Linked DNA regions of Lonchura striata. The protein of the gene in region 1 interacts with the protein of each later gene in a pairwise test. Links are inferred from orthologs where the notes say so. Each region holds a gene or a part of one and is shown on either strand. Other genes may lie near its edges.

What was found. The genes of interacting proteins can lie anywhere in the genome.
Region 2: the proteins of CTNNA3 (region 1) and JUP interact in binary tests that used the Homo sapiens proteins (3 or more experiments, as listed by UniProt). The link is inferred for Lonchura striata from reciprocal best matches to the Homo sapiens genes CTNNA3 and JUP.

Annotation. Positions count from the first base shown.
Region 1 is NC_134609.1:35,368,616-35,376,674, reverse strand, and holds the start of CTNNA3 (catenin alpha-3), read right to left. Parts: upstream 3,099-8,059; 5' UTR 2,986-3,098; coding exon 2,961-2,985; intron 1-2,960. UniProt on the Homo sapiens protein: May be involved in formation of stretch-resistant cell-cell adhesion complexes.
Region 2 is NC_134627.1:6,608,757-6,615,919, reverse strand, and holds the start of JUP (junction plakoglobin), read right to left. Parts: upstream 3,024-7,163; 5' UTR 2,957-3,023; exon of another isoform or gene 2,881-2,956; intron 2,743-2,880; exon of another isoform or gene 2,637-2,742; intron 1-2,636. Other genes in the region: P3H4 (endoplasmic reticulum protein SC65), read right to left, coding at 6,318-6,328, 6,419-6,560, 6,735-6,821, 6,902-7,047, 7,150-7,163. UniProt on the Homo sapiens protein: Common junctional plaque protein. The membrane-associated plaques are architectural elements in an important strategic position to influence the arrangement and function of both the cytoskeleton and the cells within the tissue.

The sequences.
Region 1 (8,059 bases):
AGGTCTTTAAAGTGAATAAATCATTCATTAGGAACTTGATGCAGAATCTACTGATGTGAATTAATAGTTTTTACCAAGTTCACTGGGCCATGACTCAGGCCATTAGCCTGAAATGTGTGTGTGTGTCAACAAAGAATTATAACTGCTTTAGCTGGATTGCAACCGATTATTGTCCCAAAATAAAAGACACTTTAAATTTCACAGTACCTTACCTTCTTATAAAATACAGCTTGGCAAAGCCTTTTTAGCCAATAATGACTTCAAATACACAAATAACGGTTATCTGTCCTTTTTAAGCAAAACTCATTACAACCACTGCTGCTGTACAATGTAGTAATTCGGTACTGCAATTGTGCAGGCTGAAGAGATATAGTGTCACCTTCCAGTGAACCTGGCACTGATTTAATAAAACACAGTAGGTTTAGGGTTCCTATAGCAAGGGGTGTAGATATTAATCTGGAGGGTTATTCACATTTCACTTACAAGCAAAGATAATATGAGCAATAAAAGAATTAAGGTATAAAGCAATTTAGGGTTTTGCCATTCTTATTAAAGGTTACCCAAGCGCCAAGTTTATCTTTAACTACAAACTATACTAATGGCAGAGCTAAGTTCCAAAAAAATTCAGCTGCATCCAGCCAGGAGGTAGCATTTGGAAAGAACTGATTTTTCAGTTTTAATTCTGAGCCAAAAGACAAAGAAACCTGAGATCAGACCGACCAGAAAAAAACACTTTTCCTTCCACAGATATGAATGGAAAGAGAACTCTGGAAATGTCAAAGCAAATTATCTGCCCATATTTTACATATTTAACATTTAGATACTTTCAAGAAACACCAAGGAAACAAACTCTGAGACCCCTAAATCTTTCTGTCCGATACTAACAAGTAGCTTTGAACGCCACTAATGTCTGTCATCCCTGCACTTGCAGCGAGCTCCAGGTCCCCAGGGGAGGCCTCTGAACACACGGCACAGCAGCTCCTGAGCCCTTTCCTTGTGTTCACCCCTCCTTCAAAAAGCATTTAAATTCAACAAGATACTGTCCCCCAGTTTCACTGGGATTGCGTCAAACCGCATCATTACACACGCTGGAAAAGACAGATCCTTTTCTGCCACCTGTAATTCACTGGTTTTCTAAATCTCTGGCCAATATTTCAATGAATCTGCTTTTTATTCACACTAGGAAAAATAATAAATCTTTATGATGGTGCTGGGTACCAACCCTTATCTTTGATATTTTCACAAGTCTCCCAAACTATGGGCACTTCTTGAAATCCATCATAACAGTCGCAAACAGATGGTATTGACTGTGCTGTGCATTTTTTTCTGGTCAGACATACATCAGTTACAAGGGGACAGGTAAACGGGATGGGAACTGTACTTCATGCTCCTGCTGAGCCCTAAAGAAACCACGAGGTGAATCGGGTTGTTTTTCTGCAGATACACTTACGCTTTAAACCTTGATAAATTCCTTGATAAAGGGCCTCAGCACCTGCTTTACTCAAAATGGAGAAATTAAGCCTTTTTGCTGCTTGCTCTCCATTCTCACAGCACAATCTCCTCTGCTACATGCTATCTGCAATCATCAGATCTTTTTCTAAATTTTAGCAGATAAATATGTCGTTGTAATTAAATTAAAAGTAATAAATTCCTGTTACTATAGGACCACCGTGCTCCAGAATCCCACCACAGATTGGAGCACTCTCAAACTTGGAAAGTATTACAAATCCAACCCCATTTTTGCAGGTCAGAAAAAATGTGAATCCATGTGTCATGACTTTCCCTATTCTGGGTTGTTCTGTGGCTTTTGCTTGTTTGTTTGTTTCTTACCCTTAGCATACTGTCTAACATCAGCATTTTTATTCTTTGCTTGAGCCCTGAGTTCAAAAGCCAGTTAAGGCAATAATAGCTTTTAGCCTTGAGTCAGGCCATAACGAGTCATCAACTGAAAGTCAATTGCAAAAACTATTGTCTCTGAAAATTTCAATTATATTTTAAGCTATAAATAGCTCACTTAAGGGTTCACTTGCTGATTCCAGCAATATTTTTTAAGTAAAATTCTAATGCTTCCTGAAACCTCCTTTTGTTTCTAAAAAGATGGAAACAGTTTTGCAAGCCAATGCAGCAAAAACCACAAGATCTTAAATCATTTTGATAATCTGACTGCATATTTTTAGCTTACCAGGCTCTCTTTATTGTTATATACCATACTGGCTAAATCAATATTTAAATTGGACTCTTTAGTTATTTCTTTTTAATTAAGGCAAGGATAAGAGGCGATAGGAAGAAAATACAGTCAGTAAAGATCATCCTGGGATTTTCTCTGGCATTTCCACTTACTAACTGAACTTCTGTCCTTCCGCATCATATTCATTAAGATGACAAATCTGATGTTTGCCTCAGGAAAAATATTAAAATCAACATTCCACCTTCCTTTTTTTTTTTTTTAACTGTATTTGTCTACTCCAGTATAACATCCCCCTAACTACAGCAGGGGCCCTAACTGCGAGATGTTTTGGTAAAAGGCTGTATAACCTCACACTCAGTTAGATTAACCTTTACAGAAGGCAATCTCAGCCCTGTACACCAGCAGCTCTTACAACACTTAGGATGTTAAGCATGTGTTACAAGATATAGCTGTGTCCCAGAACAGCCAGAAAACCAACCATCTGCACACTCCTACCAAATGCTCCCCACCTCAAGATAATACAAAACTATTGAGTCTTTTGGTGTAATAAGAAAAAGACACTGGAAAACCAGCCGAAGCCTATATCCATCTGCAATGCAACGTGAACGTAGCACCTGCAGCTTTTTTTTTAGAATCTGTAAGTACACTGTATACAGACATTAACTAATAAGTGTCAGAAAGCAGAGCCAAAGACATTCTGCATAAATTAGAAAACCTTTACTTTAGAATCCATCTCCTGCCAGATTGTTAGAAAGCCAACAGCGTCACTCACCTATGCTAGAAAACATATGGTCCATATGCAGCACTAAAGCAAGTGCCTATGAAATTTCCTTGGGTTAGGAACTTCAGTGCAACTGCCCTGGCTCGCTATGGGGCTCCTGAGGCATCTGCAAGGGACAGCCTGACAAGCTCCCAGTGTATTTCAGGATGACTGACAGCACACAGCGGCGGCTGGAGGGCTGGCAGGGGGATGGGCATCCTTAAAGCTGTATTGGAGAGCATAAGCACGGCAAAAAAGTTTAGAGCTGAGAAGGTTTTGAACAATTAGAGGACACGAAGCATTAAATTACTTATACTTCCTGTGATAATTCTTGTAATTTCCAGCACAGCAACTGTTTTGCCATACATTCTGACTGTATGCCAACTTCAGTCTGGAGGCAGTGACTCACTCTCAGACTCCTGAGCTGGACAGCAAAGGGATTCATAAAGCTCTTGCACAGAACTTGGCACCAAAATTGTTTTCTCTGTTGTTTTTTTACTATTGTATGGTACCCTGCAATGACACACAATATATTATCCTAGCAGTTTCAGAAAATGCAAAGGCCTATTGCCTTCTAAAAAATGAAGAAATGTTTAAACAAAGTAGTCAGGATCTGTATTTTTTACCAAGATACATATGGACAGGGCACCTGAGGATTTCCAAGATACGAAACATTTCTGAGAATACATAACAGATTTTTTTTACTATTTGTTCTTAATTTCAGTATTTCCTCTACAGCTTCATTAATTGTTACCAACAGCACTCTGATAATATAACTTGTTAGCCTTTTTGCTACAGTCAGTACAGAGAGTGCAAATCAGACTTCATAAAGCCACAAAAAACAATTACCACATTTTGCTTTAATGCTAGCTGACACATGAAATAAGACATTCAGGATGCTAAAAGCTTGTAGTTCAGGCAAAGAAAAGTGCACACTGTTTTACTGCAGAGTACTTGTACTCTGTAGGCCAGACCATGCTCTGGAATGGAGCAGTATTCCAAAGGACCTGGCCCATTTAACACCAGGTAAAGTCTATAAAGCACCTGGTAAATTACTTAAATTTCCAAACAAAGCTGTCAGGCTGCTCTATAACCATCTCAGAATTCATCATTTCTTACCACTAGCAACAAGACACGTGTCTATTAATGCACAGACACCACAAGTAGAGCAGGAGACGGTGGCAAGATTCAGACCCATTAATAACATTAATTCACATAAAGCTACTTTATTTAAACAGGCTTTGCATTTAGGTGTAGGCTAGCAATGAAGTAACTGGAAGATTTTTTTTAATCGCAGCCCCAAAAATTAAAACCAAAAAAACATAGCACTTTTTTTTCGTATTTCCTTTCAATTCTGCCTGTGTTTACCATCTCCCAAGAGCACTTTTTCAATCCACATCTGATGAGCAGTTAAAATTCACAAGAATATAAGACTTCCACCAAGTTCTTCAACACAGTTCTCAACATAAATAATGTGATATATCATACCTTACAATCAATCTACCAAGAAAACAGTGTAAGCCTAGTTCTTTATGGGTGTTGGAGAATCCCCATGGCAAGCAATGGTTCATGACTGACCTAGTAGTGACATTAAAAGGTTTAATTAAGGTTTATGAAAAAAAAAACCAAAAACTTTTGAGGTGGGATAAAGCATTGCACCTCAACAAACTTGTCTCGTGAAAACTTTCTTATAGCTAGTGAGATAAAAATTTCAGATTTTTTCCCAGATTTATAACACTCAGAACGAGCTCTCTTTTCCTTGTTTAGTACTCATGTTTTCTTTTCCTACAGTGCTTTCTATTTCAAGCACTGTTTCAAGCAGAGGTTGTGTTCCAGTATCACAGAAGGAAACAGAATCACAGAGGAAAAATTATTTACTCAAGATGAGAGAGAATGCCAGTGGCAGAGTACTGGAATAAAACCATAACAACACTGAAGTACCTTACCCACACTTTCTTTAATCAAGGCCAAAAAGCAGGCTGAGGAGAGTAAAACACTTTCAGAAACAATTCACACCATAACTCTATAGAACATCATCTCTATTCTTACTCCTATGTTCAGGTTACCCTGATATTAGTATTGCTCATCCTAGTAAGGCCAGAAACCATCTGCCTTAAACATCCTATCAGAACCCCTCCACTGGTGAATGCACACACTTCAGCCAGCTGCAACACCAACTAATTCCAGGAGATGTTCCAGCAGAAGTGTGAATCCTACAGCCTGAGCAGTTCCACAGCCTTTGGCTTTGTACTGGCACTCAGGACTGCTTCTCAAACAACAGCTATCCAAAAAATGTGCTACTGCCTTAAACCTACAGCCACTGCAAGAAACATCTTCCCAGTGAAGTATAACATGGAAACTTGGGAACCTGACAGTATCTCACTACCAGAAAAATAAAATAATTTCACTCAACAGTGGAGTTCTACTGGATATGCACAACTGTGAGTGACAGCAGAATTAAAATAATACTGCTTAGGCTAGATATACTTTAATGTTTGTAACATTTCTTCCATGTACATTTTGGCAGGTACCGCAGTTTTTCATCTGAAAACTAGAGTTCTAATATTTAAGAAACTGAAAAAGCACTTACTTTAAAAAAAAAAAAAATAACACACAAAAAAGTGGTGTGACATCAGATGGCAGCATTTCATTTTTTAAAATAATCATTACTATTTTTTGGATCTATTTTAAATTCTTAAATGAAACCCCAAAATCCTTCCACATGAGTCTCAGTGCTATTTTCACTGCGTGCAGTTTGAGCCCAGAACAAGGACTGCTCTCCATTTAAGTGGCACACAGTTCTTACATGGATGGCTATCTGAGCCCCTAACGATAGGTTAAGGAGGTCTGGCTCCAAGCCTTCTCTTTTGTTATCACATTTAACGTGCTCCTATCTGTGTTCAGAACCAGAGACCCCGTTCAAATAAAGTTCAAGTTGACCTTCCACTAAAAATAGGATGTTGTTCAACTCATTAAAATAATAGACAATAATAGAAATTCCATGAGGTGCTACTAAAAGGTTTCAAATTTTATTTACTTTAAATACAGCTCCCCATTTCCCCTTATTGCTATTTGCTGACAGTTATCTATTACAGCATTACACTCTGCTGTTTCGTTTTAAATATGTGTCTCAACTCTCAACTGCAAAGAGGTAAAAAACCAGGGTTTCTTCTCTTTGTAGAGCTGCTTCTGATTTTGCCAACAGATTTGGCTGTTTCCTACCCATGGCCTACCCCAGGATGCTTCACCATCACATACCATTTCATTGAGGGTCTGCATTAATTGTTTTGTCCAGTGATCTAAATAGTGTTTTAGCATTCTAGAAGTTTTCTTCTTCCCCACTGCTTACAGACACGCTCAAAACAACCCCAAAATTAAGAGTAGCAATGGTGACGGTGACTGACACTTATATATATAAAACATATTGACTCTGAGATATGCATGAAAATAAGAGAGAAATGACTCTTAGAAAGTGCCTCACTTTGAATGCTGGCAAGCAGCTTCCTTAGCACATACAACAGCACAATCTAATGAAAAGGGACAGAAAATAGTACTTAAGTAAAGCCACAATCCCTCCACACCATGCCTGCAAACATGGACAGACCTCAATATGCAGATTTACTCTTCCAGTGGGGTTCCCATTGCTGCACAGCACCCTATTTCCTTTATCAATTCTTCCAACTGGTTTCAAATCACACCAGGGCTCAGCAGAAAACCCCTACAAAGCTGTTAAAGCACTTCTGGTGAAACAGCTTCAGAAATAAAGCCTAAGGACGTTCCAGCCCATTCTGACCTCTGCCCACAGTTCAACTCAAAACCATCTGGCTGAAGAGCAGCCATAAAGAGAAAAAAAAAAACCAAACTTTGTTCCAAGGTGAATTAATTTCCCAACACTGATCAAAGTAGGAGAAAACAGTAAGAATTCATTATGGTTTCCTCCTAAATGCCTGTCACATAGCCTAATTCTTTGTTGTTGGGTATCTCTGGGGCTTCACTAGGTCTGAACCTAACAGAAAGGTGCACACATAAGGGTCTTGAAATATGCACAATGTTACACTGAATGTAACAGCCCTCCTGTAGCCCTCTCTTATAATATTTTTTGTAATATTTTGGAATTTTTTTAAAATTACATTAAATTGTGCAGTAACTTATTATTTTCACACTGAGGTGCGATAAACATACATTTACACAAACCTTCCTTCAATTAAGTGCAACTTCCAGCAAAGTATCAGGAGGTAAACTAAATTTTTTAAACTAATAGCATCCATACAACATCTTATTCTTCCTTTTCCAATATTCCAAAGTGGCTTCTCATATCTGGAAAATATGCAAACACACTGCAGAACTTCAGCTACTAGCCTGAAGTGATAAGACCATGACAATTAAAATATTTAGAATATTCAGGATTTTTTTTAATATTCAGATTTTTTTAATCATGTTTAAAAGTTCTTTTTTTTTTTTTTTTTTTTTGGAAAGCTGGCTAAGAAAGCCAGCGTTTTAACTTTTTTAAACTTTTGGAGTGATTGTTTTATCAAGCAGCAACAGTTCCATTTATAGCTTCATGTACTTCCACCACTAAGAGGAAAATTGCCTACATTCTTCTCCAATCTTACCTTTTGAATCAAGACTCCAAGGAAAGGAGCTCCTAGGAATGGCTCTGTGAAGAACTCCACCTGAGGCAGCTGGACTCCAGGGGCAGCGAGGCTGCGAATGTGCCAGTCAGACCCAGCTGTAAGAAACAAAATGTGAGGGCAGCACTCCACTGGGACTCCTCCCAAAGCAGTAGCGCCGAGCTCAGTGGCAGCTTGCTACTGAAAATACCCCTTAGAGCCACCCAAGCTCATGCCTAGCCTTGCAAGCCAGGTTTGACACAGGAACCCAAATCGGACACCAGGGAAGGCAATGGCAAAGCCATTCAGGCTGAACACGAGAAGGGAAAGGGGAAGAAGGAAAGCAAAAGCCACTGCTGTAAATCCACACTCAAATATAGATGCAATGCACATCTCCCTCATTCACCTTCACAAAACATTCAAAACACACTTCCAGATTGATAATCCCTCATTTGTAAGATTTTCCACCAAAGCGGCCATTTAAAAAATGGATATGAGTTA
Region 2 (7,163 bases), on another chromosome or scaffold:
GGTGATGCTGGGTGCCCACACACCCTGTCTAGGTGGGGAAGCAGCACCTGAACTCAGAGGTAGACTTGTACTGCTGTAACAGACACTACATTTCTTTTTAACTTCTGTTAATTAGAAGCCAGTATAATTTAAACCTTCAAAACCAGCACAAGCGTCGGTACAGATGCTGCAATTAAAGTTCTGCAAGTTCTCTGTGCAGAGGCTCTGCTCCCCCAGCCTGCGGAGCGGGGCCAAGGGCAGCTTCGCTCCCAGGCTCTGCCATCTGCGAGCGGCAGCGCGCCCGGCAAAAGCGCCGTCTGAAATCCCGGAGATCTGGAAGTGTGATAAAAAGCCAAATCCCATCAAGCGCTCCCACAGCAAACCACAGTCTTGAAGGGAAGCCGTCCTCCCGGGAACGGGCTGAGCTGCAGGAGCCGTGCAGCTGTACCGCAGCGCCTGCCCGGCCGCGAGGGCTGAGTAAGGGTTTCAGGTGGGGGAAAACAAAGGGGTGAGTTAATGGGATTAGGGCAGCGCCGAATGATACACTGAAATGCGGCACCAGGAGCAGCGGGGACATCCCCCACGGCCCCCGGCTGCAGCCCGGCCACGACTCACCCGCGCTGCCCCGGAGGCTCCAGGCACGGTGGCACAAACTACTCGCACACCCAGCCCCAGGAGACCCCTCCCAGCAGCCCAGCTCGTCCCCCCCACCCCCTCCCGGGGATGAACGCGCTTCCTGGAGCCGGCAAGGACACGGCACACCGCCCAGACAATAGGCTGTAACGCCATTGTCTGAGGGAGGGCCCCGCACGGCCGCCCCACCTTTCCCCAGCGCCCTGAGCCCCGGGGACCCACGTCTGTCCCTGCTCCCGCACAGCGGCCACAGTGCAAGGAGGGAGCACAATCCTCAGCCACCGCTGCCAGGAGCCCTGTGCGTCCCCGTCCTGATGGCCAACTTGTTTAAGCCAAATTAGCAGTAAAAAATGGGTTTTTCATGACACCTCATGGAAATCCTCCAAAACAATGAGCGATAACAGGCTTCAGATGTGCAAACGCAGTCCCAGTGGGTGCCCTGCACCCTTCCAGCCAGCTCCGACACCGACAAGGACACAGAAATGGACCCCTATAATTTTCTCATCCCTGTTTCCGGCTGGGCCGGACACTCCGGGAGCGGAGCCTGGAGCAGCCCCCGCGGACACTGCACCTGCCCTGGATGCGGCTGAGAGCCCGGAGCAAACGCCCCCGGCAGCGCTGCAGCCCCATCCCCGCGGCAGCTGGCAGGGACACGCTGCGCCCCCGGCTCCCCACCAGCGCATCCAGACGGACACCAGAGCCGCTCGGGGCTGGCACCAGCGCCAAAACCAGCACGACGTGGGCTGGAGCAGGAGGTGAAGCGACTGAGGGGCTGTGTCACAGGGTGTCCCCAGCCCCCACCACCCTTCTGGGATGGGGAAGTTGACAAGAGAACGTGAAACCAGACACAGGACTCACCCAGGCACCCCAACAGCGTTACAGGGAAGCTGGGGGTGCAGGAACTTCCAGCCTGGCTGGAGAGGGTGAAGGCTGATGCCCTCACACTCGGGCAGGCACAACAGTGGCACAGGTCACCCTGTCCCGTCTCCAGCAGCAGCCGTGCCCTCCTGAGCGTTCACGCTCCTCTCCCGGCATACATCGCCCCACGTTGCTCATATGGCAGCCCACGTTTGCCTTCTCCGGGCAACTCCCAGCAACATTTCAGCATTATCCTTTCATCTGTGCTATAAACCTGATTAATTAAGCTAATGCTAATCACTCAGCTAACGCAATTAGAGCGCTCTCTCCTCTCTAAACATCAGACAAACAGCCAAGTTTCACTCCCCCCGCCGTTTCGCGGTGCGGATGTCCCTGGCAGGAGCTCAGCTGGGACCCCCGTGAGCCCTGTGCCCAGCACCCCTCACCCGCGGGGGGCTGTCTTGGGTGATGTCAGGTCACCCTGACGCCCTGTGAGCCCTGTGCCCAGCACCCCTCACCCGCGGGGGGCTGTCTTGGGTGATGTCAGGTCACCCGCATCCCTCTCAGCCCCCAGACATCCCACGCCAGGTGGCGGGCGGAGGGCAGCCCCGGCCCCGCGGGTAGGGACGGCGATGTCGAAGCGATCCGAGGCGGCCTCGAGAGCAGCACGCGGTGTCCCCAGGTGTGACTCTGGGCACGGAGCAGTCCAGTTTGCGTAAGAGCCCCACAGCACCGGGCGAGCGCCGTGCCAGGGCCTCGCCCGCTCCGCGGCAGCTCCGGGCGGGGCCGGGGACAGAGTCACCGCCTCGCACAGGAGCGCGGATCCGCGACTCCCAAACTGGATCCCGCGGCACCGGGAAGGGGCCGGGACAGCCCAGCTGGGCATGGGGGAAGCCCCGGGGACCCGCCCTGCCGGTGCCGCGCAGGACCGGCCGAGCTCACGGGCAGCACACGGCCAGCTCTGCCCCAGACGACGGCAGCGGGGCCGAGCCGGGACGCCCGGTGCTGCCCGGCCCGGACCCAACTCCTCCCCGCCCCGAGAGCGGCCGCTCCCCAGCGCCGCACGGCGGAGTCCCCGCCGCTCCGGTGCAGCCCAGCCCGGAACGACGGACGGCGACGGACGGCCGCGGACCTGGCGCCGTCCCGGCCGCCCCAACTCTGCTCACCGGACCGCTCCCCGCCGCGACCTCCGCCAGCCCGGTCCTGCGGACCCGGAGTGACCTCTGCCCGGTTCAGCCGGCCTATTGCCGGTCACCGCCGCTCCCCCACGCCCGACGCGCCCTGACTCGGCTCCACTCACCGTCGCTCCCCATGCCCAGTGCCCCGCCCCGCTCACCGTCGCTCCCCGTGCCCGACGCGCCAGTCCCGCTCACCGCCGCTGCCCGTGCCCGGCGCCCCGGTCCCACTCACCGTCCTTCCGTGCGCGATGCCTCGGCCCCACTCACCGTCCCTCCCCGCCCGTGCCCGGTGCCCCGGCCCCGCTCACCGTCGCTCTCCGCCGCCCGCCCGCTCCTGCCCGAACAAAAGGCGAGCGGCGCCCCGCGCGCCGCCCCGCCCGCCGCAGGCCCCGCCCCCGCGCCGCCCCTCCGCCATTGGATGCTCCGCACGCCCATCAAGCACTGGGCCCGCCGGGCCCCGCCCCCGCCGGACGTGTTTATTCTTTCCCCATTGGCGGGGGCGCGGACGCCCCGCCCCCTGCCCGCAGCTGATTGGACAGCGGGGCGGGGTGGGCGGGGCGAGACCACGAGGGGACCACCTGGGTGACGTCAGTGGGCGCGGCCAGGTGGGGCCGGGACCCGCCCCTGAGGGCCGGGGGCGCGGGGACCCCCGGGCCGTGCTGGGATCCCCGGATCCTGCGGGGACCCCCGGCCCGTGCTGGGACCCCCGGGCCGTGCTGGGAACCCCCGAGCCGTGCGGGAACCCCCGAGCCGTGCGGAGACCCCCGAGCCGTGCGGGGACCCCCGGGCCGCGCGGCGACCCCCGGCCCATACTGGGACCCCCGGGCTGTGCGGGGACCCCCGAGGCGCGCGGGGAACCCCGGCCCATGCTGGGACCCCCGGGCTGTGCGGATACCCCGGGGCCGTGCGGGGACCCCTCGAGGCAGGAGCGCGGGGGCGACAGGAAGCGGCGTTCGGGAAGGGCTCGGGGCTGCTGGCGCCGCGTCAGCCCGGTCCCCGCCGGACCGGTCCAGCCGGGTGCTGCTGCCGCGTCCCGGGCTAAGCCGCCGTCACCCAGTGCCCGAGTCATCCATTGGACACGTCCCAGCCCAGCTCAGGACCCCCAGGTGTGGGGGAGCAGGAGGATTCTGCCCCGGTGAGGATGAGGAGGGAGCATCGTGCACCCCCGCTGCCTGCACGGTTCCCTGCTACGTCTGGCAGCGAGCGCTGCCAGGCGGGGATTCTCAGCTCCGGAGGAAGGTGAGAGACAGAGCTTCCACCGCCTCTGCAAGAAGAAGGGAATTCATGGCTGTGCGCTGAGCGGGAGATCCGGAGCGCAGCGAGAGAGCTCTCGGCACAGGGAAATGGGCACACGGCACGGCACGGCAGGGCACAGCGCAGGGGAGGCGGCAGCAGACATCTCATCCACGCTCCCCTCTTGGTCAAGGTCGAGGGGACCGCGATGATGCCTTCACCAAGTAACCAACCCATCGCTCCCTGCAGCCCTTCTCCTGCAGCCCAGGACTCCTCCGTGTCCCCCGTCAGTCACCCCGCATCCCATCTCTGCGCCCCTGGCACTGCCCGCAGCTCGGCAGGACAGGACGGTGGCCGTGCCCACGGTCACAGCCACGCCAGGTCACAGCGGCACTGCCAGAGATGCTGCTCCTGCCTGGCACTCCCGGGGTGATGGATGCAGCCATCCAGCACATCCTGCACATCCAGCGGCTCAGGTGGGAGCAGGGAAGGGACCCCGGGCACTCCAGCTCGCAGCTGCAAGGGGCTTTGCCCGGTGCCAGTAGATCAGTGGGAGCAGGGAGCTGTTTTCTCCTCGTGAGTGTGGGGCTGGGGAGGGTGCCCGGGTGTGTGTCAGAGCAGGGCGGAGGCCCCGTGGGCCCAGTGCCACCCTCGCCCAGCTGTTGGGAAGATCCGCAGCCTTTGTCCCCTAGGCTGCGGTGCCAGCCCTGGGCTGAGCGCTCTCCGCTCCTCCGTTCGCGAGTGCCGCTGGCCACACCCCACCCGGCTGGCACTCCCCTCCCGAGGTGGCTGTGCCCCATCGGTGACAAACCCAGCTCCTCCCAAGTGACAGCACAGCCCTGTGAGGTGCAGGGTGCAGTGGGTGCTCCCTCCCAGCACTGCCTCCCCGAGCCCTGAGCTTTGCTCACGGGTCTGGGGGCTCAGCCCCTGCCCCCCGCCCAGTGCCCTGCAGAGCTGGAAAAGCCTCGGTGAACAGGGGCTCCGGGCAGGGCAGGGTGGGGTGCTGGCAGCCTCTTGCCACTCTCTTCCTTCCATTCCCATCCCTTCCCTCCCCCGGGGCCAACGCTGTGATTCAGCCTCTCAGTTTCAGTCCTCGTAGCCAATTTCCACGCCGAGCAACCCGGCAGGGAGGAGTGAGCGGCCACACACTGCCCGATGCCTCGTGCCTAGGACTGGCACAGGTTTGTCAGCACCAACAGAGACCCCCAGTGTGCCCCCAAACACCCTGATGCAGGCAGGAGGAAGTCATCCCACCCTGCCATGCCCACCTTCATCGGGGGATCCAGGCTGCACCCTCTGATCCAGGAGCAGTGTCACAGTGTTGTACCCCAAAACAACCATCAGCTCATGGATATGACATCCCAAAGACCCATATGGGGTAGGACATGCTGCCCTCCAGCCCCCTGCAGCTCCCCCCCCACCTCACCTGACAGACTCAATGAGGGGGTCATGGATCCCATTTGGGGTCCCCCTCATGGGACCCAGAGCCTCACAGGAGCCTGGCTGCTGTCATGGCCTCCATGGGCCCCCAGCCCCACAAGTTCCCCCAGGTCATCTCTGGGGACATCCAGGCCTGAACCGATCTCTTCCTCTCTCACAGCAGAGCCTCTCCTACCCTGGTCTCCTGGATCCCATGGCAGCAGCATATGGAAAGTGGAGGCAGCCGTGAAAAGACCAGTCTGGATTTTATTAAAAGTTCAGCACCAGTAAATATATAAAAAGAGCAACGGTGCAGGAGGGAAAATCTTAAATTAATTGAGCTTAAGGCTAGAGAGGGCTGGTGTGGCAAAAATTCAAGGCACAGGCAGGGCATGGGCACCACAGCCTCACCAGGCTGCAGCCCCATGGTGACACGGGGACATGGCACACTGGGAGCCCCCTGTAGCACCAGGCCAGGGAGTCCAAGGGGACCTGGGCTATGGGAGCTGTCAGATTGCCTGGGAGGCTGGAGAACAGGAGCCTCAGGGAGCCTCAGGAAGGGGCAGGATCAGCTCCAGCAGCATTGTGCATTGCTCCCGAAGTAGGGGCAGCCCTTCAAGCCCCTCAAGAAAAGATAGGGATAAATTCTGGTGCATCATCCAGAGATTCTGGGGAGCAGCTGAGGGACACAGAAAACCCCAGTGCTGTGGGGCATCACTGCTGGTCAGGGCTCCTGCGGAATTGGGGGTGGGGGTAGCCCAGGCTCCTGGGCAGGCAGGGACATTCAGGGATGCTGGTGTTCCACTGATGGGAATTGGGCTGTGCCAGGACAGCAGACATCCAGGTGGCAAAAGCAGTCCTGCCGCAGGATGCAAGGCAGGATTGGCCCCTCCCCATGAGTTTGAGTTTCTACCGGTGGCTGGGAGGAGCTTGAAGCCCGATGTCCCCAAGATGGCATCACAGAGTCACCACCATCCAGCTCAGTTGGTGCTGCTGGCTCCCCCTTCACCTGGCTCATCATAGGATCTCTGCAAACAAGGAGAGTTTGGTGGCACCAGGGGTGTGGGCAGCAGACCCCCCGACCCTACAGCACAACTCCCAGCCTTTGTATCAGGAACCTTGGTCATCTTTGTCTCCTTTGGTCTTGGGTTCCTGCCACCACTCTGCGAAGAAGCCCTCCTCGTAGTCACCTTCGCCCTCGAATTCGCCATCGGAGGGCAGGTCCAGCACCTCTGGCCCCTCACCACCATCCACCTCCATCTGCAGCACAGGAGGGCAGGAGGAGGCAGAGGAGCTCGGCAGCCTCATCTGCAGTCTCTGCTCCAGGACTGCTTTGGGGGGGTCAGACCCCCCCCATCTGCGAAAGGTCCCTGCAGCACCCACACACACCACCCAGCCCCCCCAAAAGCACCATCTGCATCCCGTGTCAGGTACCTCATCGTCATCATCCTGCAGGTACTGCCGGGCGAATTCCAGCATCTCCTTCTGGGCGGCCGTCTGGCTGTGGTAGCGCACGGCTTCCTGGGCACAGGGGCAGAGGGGCTGGGTCAGCTCCTCTCTGGGCAGTGCAGGGCCACAGGACGGGGCTGGGGGGTCCTCACCGGCCGTGGCTCGAAGTCCTCCTCGCGCAGGCGCCAGCGCTCGCGGTGGAAGCGGTAGTAGACCAGGTTCTGCTGCATCACGGTGTCGCCAGGGTCGAAGAGCATGTAGCTGGAGACGCTGCGCACCGCGTCCTGCACGTCGTTCACTGCGGGGACAGCGCCAGCTGACACGGGGGTGACACCCCTCCCAGGGCCACAGCAACCCAGGGTGCCCCAGGGCACAGCCCCCCGCTCCCACCGGCACTCACGCTTGTAGTAAGCG